2 linked regions of the Xenopus tropicalis genome follow. The protein of the gene in region 1 interacts with the protein of each later gene in a pairwise test. Links are inferred from orthologs where the notes say so. Each region holds a gene or a part of one and is shown in the gene's direction. Other genes may lie near its edges. The genes, in order: lhx9 and khk.

Region 1 (3,041 bases):
CAATCTAAAAATTGTTTTGTGCACTGAAGTCTCAAGTCCTAAAGCCCAGCTTTGAGCTAATTTTTCCAACGGTTGTAGTAAATTTCATATCCACTAAAAGGCTGCAGGGATGTATACTGCGTAACAGCTAATGAGCAGTGATTGTAAGTTTGACATTCTTGGGCTTAACATTCACATTATTATTCATTTTTGTATATACTACTGATTTAGCATTGTTATAATTGTGAGTAAAATGCTTTAAGGTTGAGACTTTCACACTATATGGTTCATTATTCTTTTGTTTTATGTATTACCCTACTGAAAACAACACTGAATTTTTTTTTGCCTAAGTTCATTATTTCATGCTTCTACATCTATAAATATGAATGTGTTTTTCTGATAAAGACAAGTTATTAGGGATAATACATATATAAATAATATATTCTAGTGCTAAGTCAATTTAAAGGTGACATATAGTCTCAATAACAAGTATTTTCTATTGCATTATACTCCTATAATAGAAGGAAAGTGCCAGTCATTCTACTGCTTTAAGCTATTTCCATGGCTGTTCAGGAGAGCCACTATGCAGGCTATTGCCATGATTTGGGCAGACAGCGATTGGCTTGGTGAACCTGATAGGGGAGGGAAAAACTGTGGTTGGCTGCCACTAAAAATCTATTGTTTTAAGAAACTGCCACTACTCGTGCATCCAAAGTGATCTATGGAGAGTTCCAAAATGTTTAAATTTAAGAGGTAATGATCATATATAGCCAAACCTTAAATCAGGTGCCATTATATTATTTATTTCAGCTATGTTTTTTGAAATATGCTATATGTCTCCTTTAAAGGTACAAGGCAATGATTGTTTTTTGTATTTAGCTTCCATTAAAGAAAAAGGTAGGGACAAAGAAGTTAGAAAGCCAGCAAAATAAAGCAACAAATAAATAAAATAATTGGTAAAGGAATGCCCTGGGATTGGTTTGCAGGTTTGGTTTCAAAACGCACGAGCGAAATTCAGAAGGAATCTTTTGCGTCAGGAGAATGGGGGAGGCGATAAAGTTGAAGGTCCCTCTCTCAGCGCTCCAGCATCTGCAGAGAGTGCTGCACTAACGCCAACCGGTGCCACGTCCACATTATCAGACCTCACCAGCCCCTCCCTCAATGTCGGGGCATCTGTAACCCCAAATATGGACACCCATGAGTCCGGGAGCCCTTCTCAAACAACACTAACCAACCTTTTTTAACATCTGCTGCGGCTCTACACTTGCTGTCCCCTATGAATATTTTCACAAGACTGCATTATTTTTATTATTATTTTTTTCTACCATCCATTGAAATACACTTCAAAATATTTTGGAAGAAAGAAGAAATTTAAGGTAGACACTCAGTGAAGCAAATGCAGAAGATAGGCTTCTGTTGTATTACTGTTCACAGAAAATGTTAAAGTCTGCATGATGAAGGTGGTAACATGAACTCTAAATTGAAAAGGATATATGTAGAAGGGCAGAGCTTGTAAAGATGCAAGATAATGACAATCCCTCAAAAACATTTGTGTGAAATCTTGCATATAACCTATTACTGAAATATATTAACCTTATTGCATTGCCAGTGCAGGGGATTTTCACTTACATTTTGCTCTTCTCTCTATCTCTCTCACTGTGAAATTCTCTATGCCCATTAACTCATATTGCTGGGACTGCAGCTTGACTGCTGTCACAGACCTGCCACAACGTTCATTGATTTTCTTTTTGTGTGTCCATCTAGCTAGCTCTGAAAAAGTCTCACTACACTTTTCAGGAAAAAAATAATTATTGTAGTAAATTGCCCTATTTATTAAAATTTGTCCAAAAGCTCATTTCCTACCTTCTTGGAAGCTAAAAACGGTTCTGTTGCACATCTTTTTCAAAAATGTTAGACTTTTCTCTCTTACTTCCTCCAGTGAGCCTCCCTCTGTTCTCCTCTCTCAATAATTATATTAAATGTCCTTCGATGGTTCTGCAGAAAGACCTGTTCTCTAGATTTCACTCTGCCTTTAATAGCAAATGGGGCGATGACTGGATGCACAAAAAAAATGACATGTAAGTTATTGGCACAAGTAATCGGTGTCATCATTTATTTTTATGTTGAGAACAATCAAATGAGGTAAGGGTTAAATTCAAATTCACACATCCTTAAAAGTGCCTCTATACAATTGTATATTACTTATTTCCATAATCTTGAATTAAATTCACCAAAATGAACTGGAATAAAATTATATTTCATTCTAAATTTTAGTCAAAATGTTTTACTTTTTTTAAATGAACACAAAGTAAAAAAAAATGTAATTCACACAACATTTTTCTGCTAAAGTGATGAAAGATGCATATTAAGTTTCAGGAAAATCATTCGTTTTCTCATTGTAATTTTTTTTTTTTTTGCCAAAAATGGTTTTCCACAAAATTTAGGAAGCTTAATATTTCTAATATATTTTTTAAAAATAAGCATTGGATGTACAGGTATGGGATCTGTTATCCAGAATGCTCGGGATCTGAGGTTTTTCAGATAAGGGATTTTCCATAATTTGGATCTCCATACTTTATACTTCTCCATACTCGAAAAAAAATCATTTAAACAATAAATAAACCCATTGGGAAAGTTTTGCCTCCAATAAGGATTAATTATATCTTAGTTGGAATTAAGTACAAGGTACTGTTTTATTATTATAGGAAAATAGAAAATATGTTTTAAAATTTTGAAGTAAAAATGGAGGCTATGTGAGATGACCTTTCCGTAATTTGAAGTGTTCTGGATATCGGGTTTCTGTATAAGGCATCCTATACCTGTATATTTGTGGCATGTTTATTTTAAACAATTTGAACCGTTCATTTTTTAGGTAAAATGGAAATAAGCAAAATACAATTTTGTAAAAAATGTTTTGTGAACAGTGAGTTTTTCTTCTCCATTGATTTTTTTTGGTATTGGATAGATTGTACCAGACAAACATTAAATATTTCTAATATATAATATTTTTGTTACTTTTGTATAAAAAAAAGTCAATATCTTATGTGCAAATGAGCATTGTT
Region 2 (4,578 bases), on another chromosome or scaffold:
CTTCTTGCCCTACTGTCCCCATCTTGCCCTACTGTCCCCATCTTGCCCTACTGTCTCCATCTTGCCCTACTGTCTCCATCTTGCCCTACTGTCTCCATCTTGCCCTACTGTTTCCTTCTTGCCCTACTGTCTCCATCTTGCCCTACAGTCCCCATCTTGCCCTACTGTCTCCATCTTGCCCTACTGTCTCCACCTTGCCCCACTGTCCCGTCTCCATCTTGCCCCACTGTCCCGTCTCCATCTTGCCCTACTGTCTCCATCTTGCCCAATGCAGTGCCACGCTACAGGATTACAGGGCACTGACACCCAAAGCCTTAGCATGTGCCTATCCGGTCGCACTGTCATGTGATTTTCTATGGAATAAAGCCTGAGCCATATTTTATTTTTACTGAATCAGCATTTCCTGAGTTTCCTTACCCTCAGCTTCTGTGTGCGGCACAGCGACTGGCACAGCGAGATAAAGGCAAAGCTAACCTTATACTGATACGTACACATATATTCCTTCCCCTGTAGGCAAACCCCTACAGTAAGGAACCCCTTCCTATGCTGATGGTGAAATCTCCTTTCCTCCCCCCCAATGAATCACACAGAGCACCTTTCCCCTAATATACAGTACAGGACCCCTCCCCACCCTGTGTATTAGAGGGGATATTTGCCCTACAGGTAACTTCAGCCCAAAGACACTTGGAATTAACAGCTTCATTGCCGTGGGGATCTGCCCCAGTCTGGAATCTCAAGAGGCTCCTCATTGGCTAATGATAGAGATCTAACACGGAATATTCCCGGCGCCCAGTCTCAGCCCAGAGGCGCTTCCCTGTCGGAAGGCTACAAATTACCCTGCACAGCTGCTACTTATCATTACGAGGCGCAATTACTGGACAATTTGCCCCGGGCCGGACAGAATGTGTCGCTGCTCGTTAGCTCCAACCGGCAGTGACTGGAACTGCCCCTACGGAATGTGACTGCGGAGTCAGTTATCTGGGGCCCATTCCTTACACCCGTGTATCGGGGGGCAGCGATGCTGGGGGTGGGGGGCTATAAGCCAGTCCCTGCAGGTTATTGTAGTTTTGCTGCTTCAGGTTCAGCAGAGGAATGGAAAAGGGAGCCTCTATCTATAATTGCATGCTGGGTATTGTAGTTTTATATTAATCTTAGCTGTGGGTTAATTGTAAAATACAAACTACATTACCCAACATGCACTGGGACAGGTACGTCAGAGGAAAACAACTTTGGCTAGTTTCCAAACTACAAACCCGCCAAGGCTCCAAAAACGGGACTAAATTTGTACCTTGACTTTGGGTTTGTACTTTGGCGAAAAACCTGCCAACCTGGCAACCCTGCGCCTCTGTAACCGGAGCGCACCGCTAGCGCTAGAGCACGCATCCAGAGATAGCTCCGCCCATCCAGAGATAGCCCCGCCCATCCATTTCTCCACTCGTGCGGTGTGAATACACAGGGGGGCGTGCGTCTCTTAGTGGTCACATGATCTCCACTATGGGCGGGGCCAGTGTGACAGAACCCGGAAGCTGGGGGGAGAGGCAGGTTAGTGGCGGATGGGAGTGTCAGTCAGGGAGTCTGTGGGGCAGATAAGGGCAGAGCGTGTGGGGCAGATAAGGGCAGAGCCTGTGGGGCAGATAAGGGCAGAGCCAGGAGCGGGAGAAGAAAGGGGCCCCAAGCTGTTTGAAATGCTTTGCAAGCTTGTCCCCCCCCCATGGGCGGGGAATGTGATAATAACACTGCCTCCCCCCATACTCACCTGTTTGTCAGCATCAGGTAGAAATAAGTCCCGCCTCCTCTCATTACAATATGAGCTGTGACTCCTCCCCCTGCTTCATTGGCTGCTGTTAGTACTAAATTGACCAACCGATGCCCCACATTGCCTGGGGGGGGACCATACATGTCCCAATGATTGTTTTGTGCAATATTATTAGTACATGTATGGCTTTAGTTCAACCACAAATACTGAGCTCTGTATAAACAACCCTCTCTTGTTATCCTTTGTTCTGCCTGTTTTGTCAGCAGGAGCCCATTATGCAGGGGGAATATCTGCACCCTGGGAATCTAATTACCTACCTAACACTTTCCCTGTTAAGCTCAAGAAATAACAATAAGCAGAGATTTTCCCTGAATGAAACAACCCAAATGAAATCAGCACAGTCCCCTCCATTGCTCAAATACTGGGAGATACTGCTCTTTAATAGGTACTGTCACAGTATGTGCAGCGAGATGCGAGGCAGCGGGATGCGAGGCAGCGGGATGCGAGGCAGCGGGATGCGAGGCAGCGGGATGCGAGGCAGCGAGATGCGAGGCAGCGAGATGCGAGGCAGCGAGGCAGCGAGATGCGAGGCAGCGAGGCAGCGGGATGCGAGGCAGCGAGATGCGAGGCAGCGAGGCAGCGGGATGCGAGGCAGCGGGATGATGCGAGGCAGCGGGATGCGAGGCAGCGGGCGTAGAGGGGCTACAGATCAGTTTTGAGAAGATTTAGTGAGCCTAAAAATGAAAGTCTTTTATACACGTATATATTAATGTGCACTGGTAATAACTGTGTTTGCTCTATAGATACGGTGCTGTGTAGCCTGGGGAGCGGCCATTCCAGTTCTGATACGGCTAAATGGCATGGGTTACAGACAGACATATATAGGGATATATATATATGCAGACAGATATAGGGATATATATATATACAGACAGATATAGGGATATATATATATACAGACAGATATAGGGATATATATATATATACAGACAGATATAGGGATATATATATATACAGACAGATATAGGGATATATATATATACAGACAGATATAGGATATATATATATACAGACAGATATAGGGATATATATATATACAGACAGATATAGGGATATATATATATACAGACAGATATAGGGATATATATATATACAGACAGATATAGGGATATATATATATATACAGACAGATATAGGGATATATATATATATACAGACAGATATAGGGATATATATATATATACAGACAGATATAGGGATATATATATATATACAGACAGATATAGGGAGCCACAAGGCACTGGGCAGATACAGTTTCTGTTAAAGAGAGGAAGGGCAGAGTTTGCTGACGCAGCGGTGCCGTAGGGCAAGGTTCACACGCAGCGGTGCCGTAGGGCAAGGGTCACATACCAGCGGGGGCAGAGCACTTCCCACTTGTTTTGAATCTTTTCTTTTGCCCACAGAGGGGAGCAATGGGGGAGAAGGGAATCCTGTGCATCGGGCTGGTGTGCCTGGATATTATTAGTGTGGTGGATAAATACCCCGAGGAGGACTCAGACAGCAGGTGAGTGATCCCCTGAGTATGTACTCACTGCTGTGATTGGGGGACGTGCCATTCGCTGACACTAAACTCCATCCCCTGTGCCCCCGTGTCCCCCTGTGCCCCCCTGTGCCCCCCTGTGTCTCCCTGTGCCCACCTGCCGGCACTGCGTATGGTTCTGTCTGACCCACATGTCTCCTCTGTAGGTGCCTGTCTCAGCGCTGGCAGCGCGGGGGCAATGCCTCCAACTCCTGCACCATCCTGGCACTACTGGGGGCTCCCTGTGCCTTCATGGGCTCCCTGGCCCCCGGGCATATGGCAGAGTAAGTACCGACTGTAGGAAACAGCCATGGGATCATGTAGAGGGATTGCTATTGGCTATTGGGCAGTCCCAGGGGTACAGAGAATATGGCTCATTAATATTAAAGGGGGAGGGGCATAGAGAAGAGAGTTCTGGGAAGGTATTTGGGAGAAAATGTTGGGGGGGTGGAGTCTGTAGTTTGGGATTCAGTGGGTGTCAGTGCCCATAATTGTCTGGCAGGGCTCTCTTGTCCTGAGATTCTGCAATATAGAATTCTTACCCCCCCCCCATGAGTGTCTGTGTCCCCCACTAATCATCTGCCAGTACCCAGCCCTGTCCCAGTACCCTCTGCCAGTACCCAGCCCTGTCCCAGTACCCTCTTCCAGTACCCATCCCTGTCCCAGTACCCTCTGCCAGTACCCAGCCCTGTCCCAGTACCCTCAGCCAGTACCCAGCCCTGTCCCAGTACCCTCTGCCAGTACCCAGCCCTGTCCCAGTACCCTCTGCCAGTACCCAGCCCTGTCCCAGTACCCTCTGCCAGTACCCAGCCCTGTCCCAGTACCCTCAGCCAGTACCCAGCCCTGTCCCAGTACCCTCTGCCAGTACCCAGCCCTGTCCCAGTACCCTCTTCCAGTACCCATCCCTGTCCCAGTACCCTCTGCCAGTACCCAGCCCTGTCCCAGTACCCTCTGCCAGTACCCAGCCCTGTCCCAGTACCCTCTGCCAGTACCCAGCCCTGTCCCAGTACCCTCTGCCAGTACCCAGCCCTGTCCCAGTACCCTCTGCCAGTACCCAGCCCTGTCCCAGTACCCTCTGCCAGTACCCAGCCCTGTCCCAGTACCCTCTGCCAGTACCCAGCCCTGTCCCAGTACCCTCCAATCCCACCAATCATCTGTCTGTAATAAACTCTTCAACCTCCAATCCAGCCAATCATCAGCCAGTAATAAACTAATCGCCCCCCAATCCCACCAATCATCTGCC

The links.
Region 2: the proteins of lhx9 (region 1) and khk interact in binary tests that used the Homo sapiens proteins (3 or more experiments, as listed by UniProt). The two-hybrid records come from large-scale screens. The link is inferred for Xenopus tropicalis from reciprocal best matches to the Homo sapiens genes LHX9 and KHK.

What each region holds. Positions count from the first base shown.
Region 1 is NC_030680.2:111,158,844-111,161,884, forward strand, and holds the end of lhx9 (LIM/homeobox protein Lhx9), read left to right. Parts: intron 1-965; coding exon 966-1,223; 3' UTR 1,224-2,501; downstream 2,502-3,041. UniProt on the Homo sapiens protein: Involved in gonadal development.
Region 2 is NC_030681.2:161,502,829-161,507,406, forward strand, and holds the start of khk (ketohexokinase), read left to right. Parts: upstream 1-1,510; 5' UTR 1,511-1,542; intron 1,543-1,569; exon of another isoform or gene 1,570-2,201; intron 2,202-3,219; 5' UTR 3,220-3,228; coding exon 3,229-3,320; intron 3,321-3,502; coding exon 3,503-3,619; intron 3,620-4,578. UniProt on the Homo sapiens protein: Catalyzes the phosphorylation of the ketose sugar fructose to fructose-1-phosphate.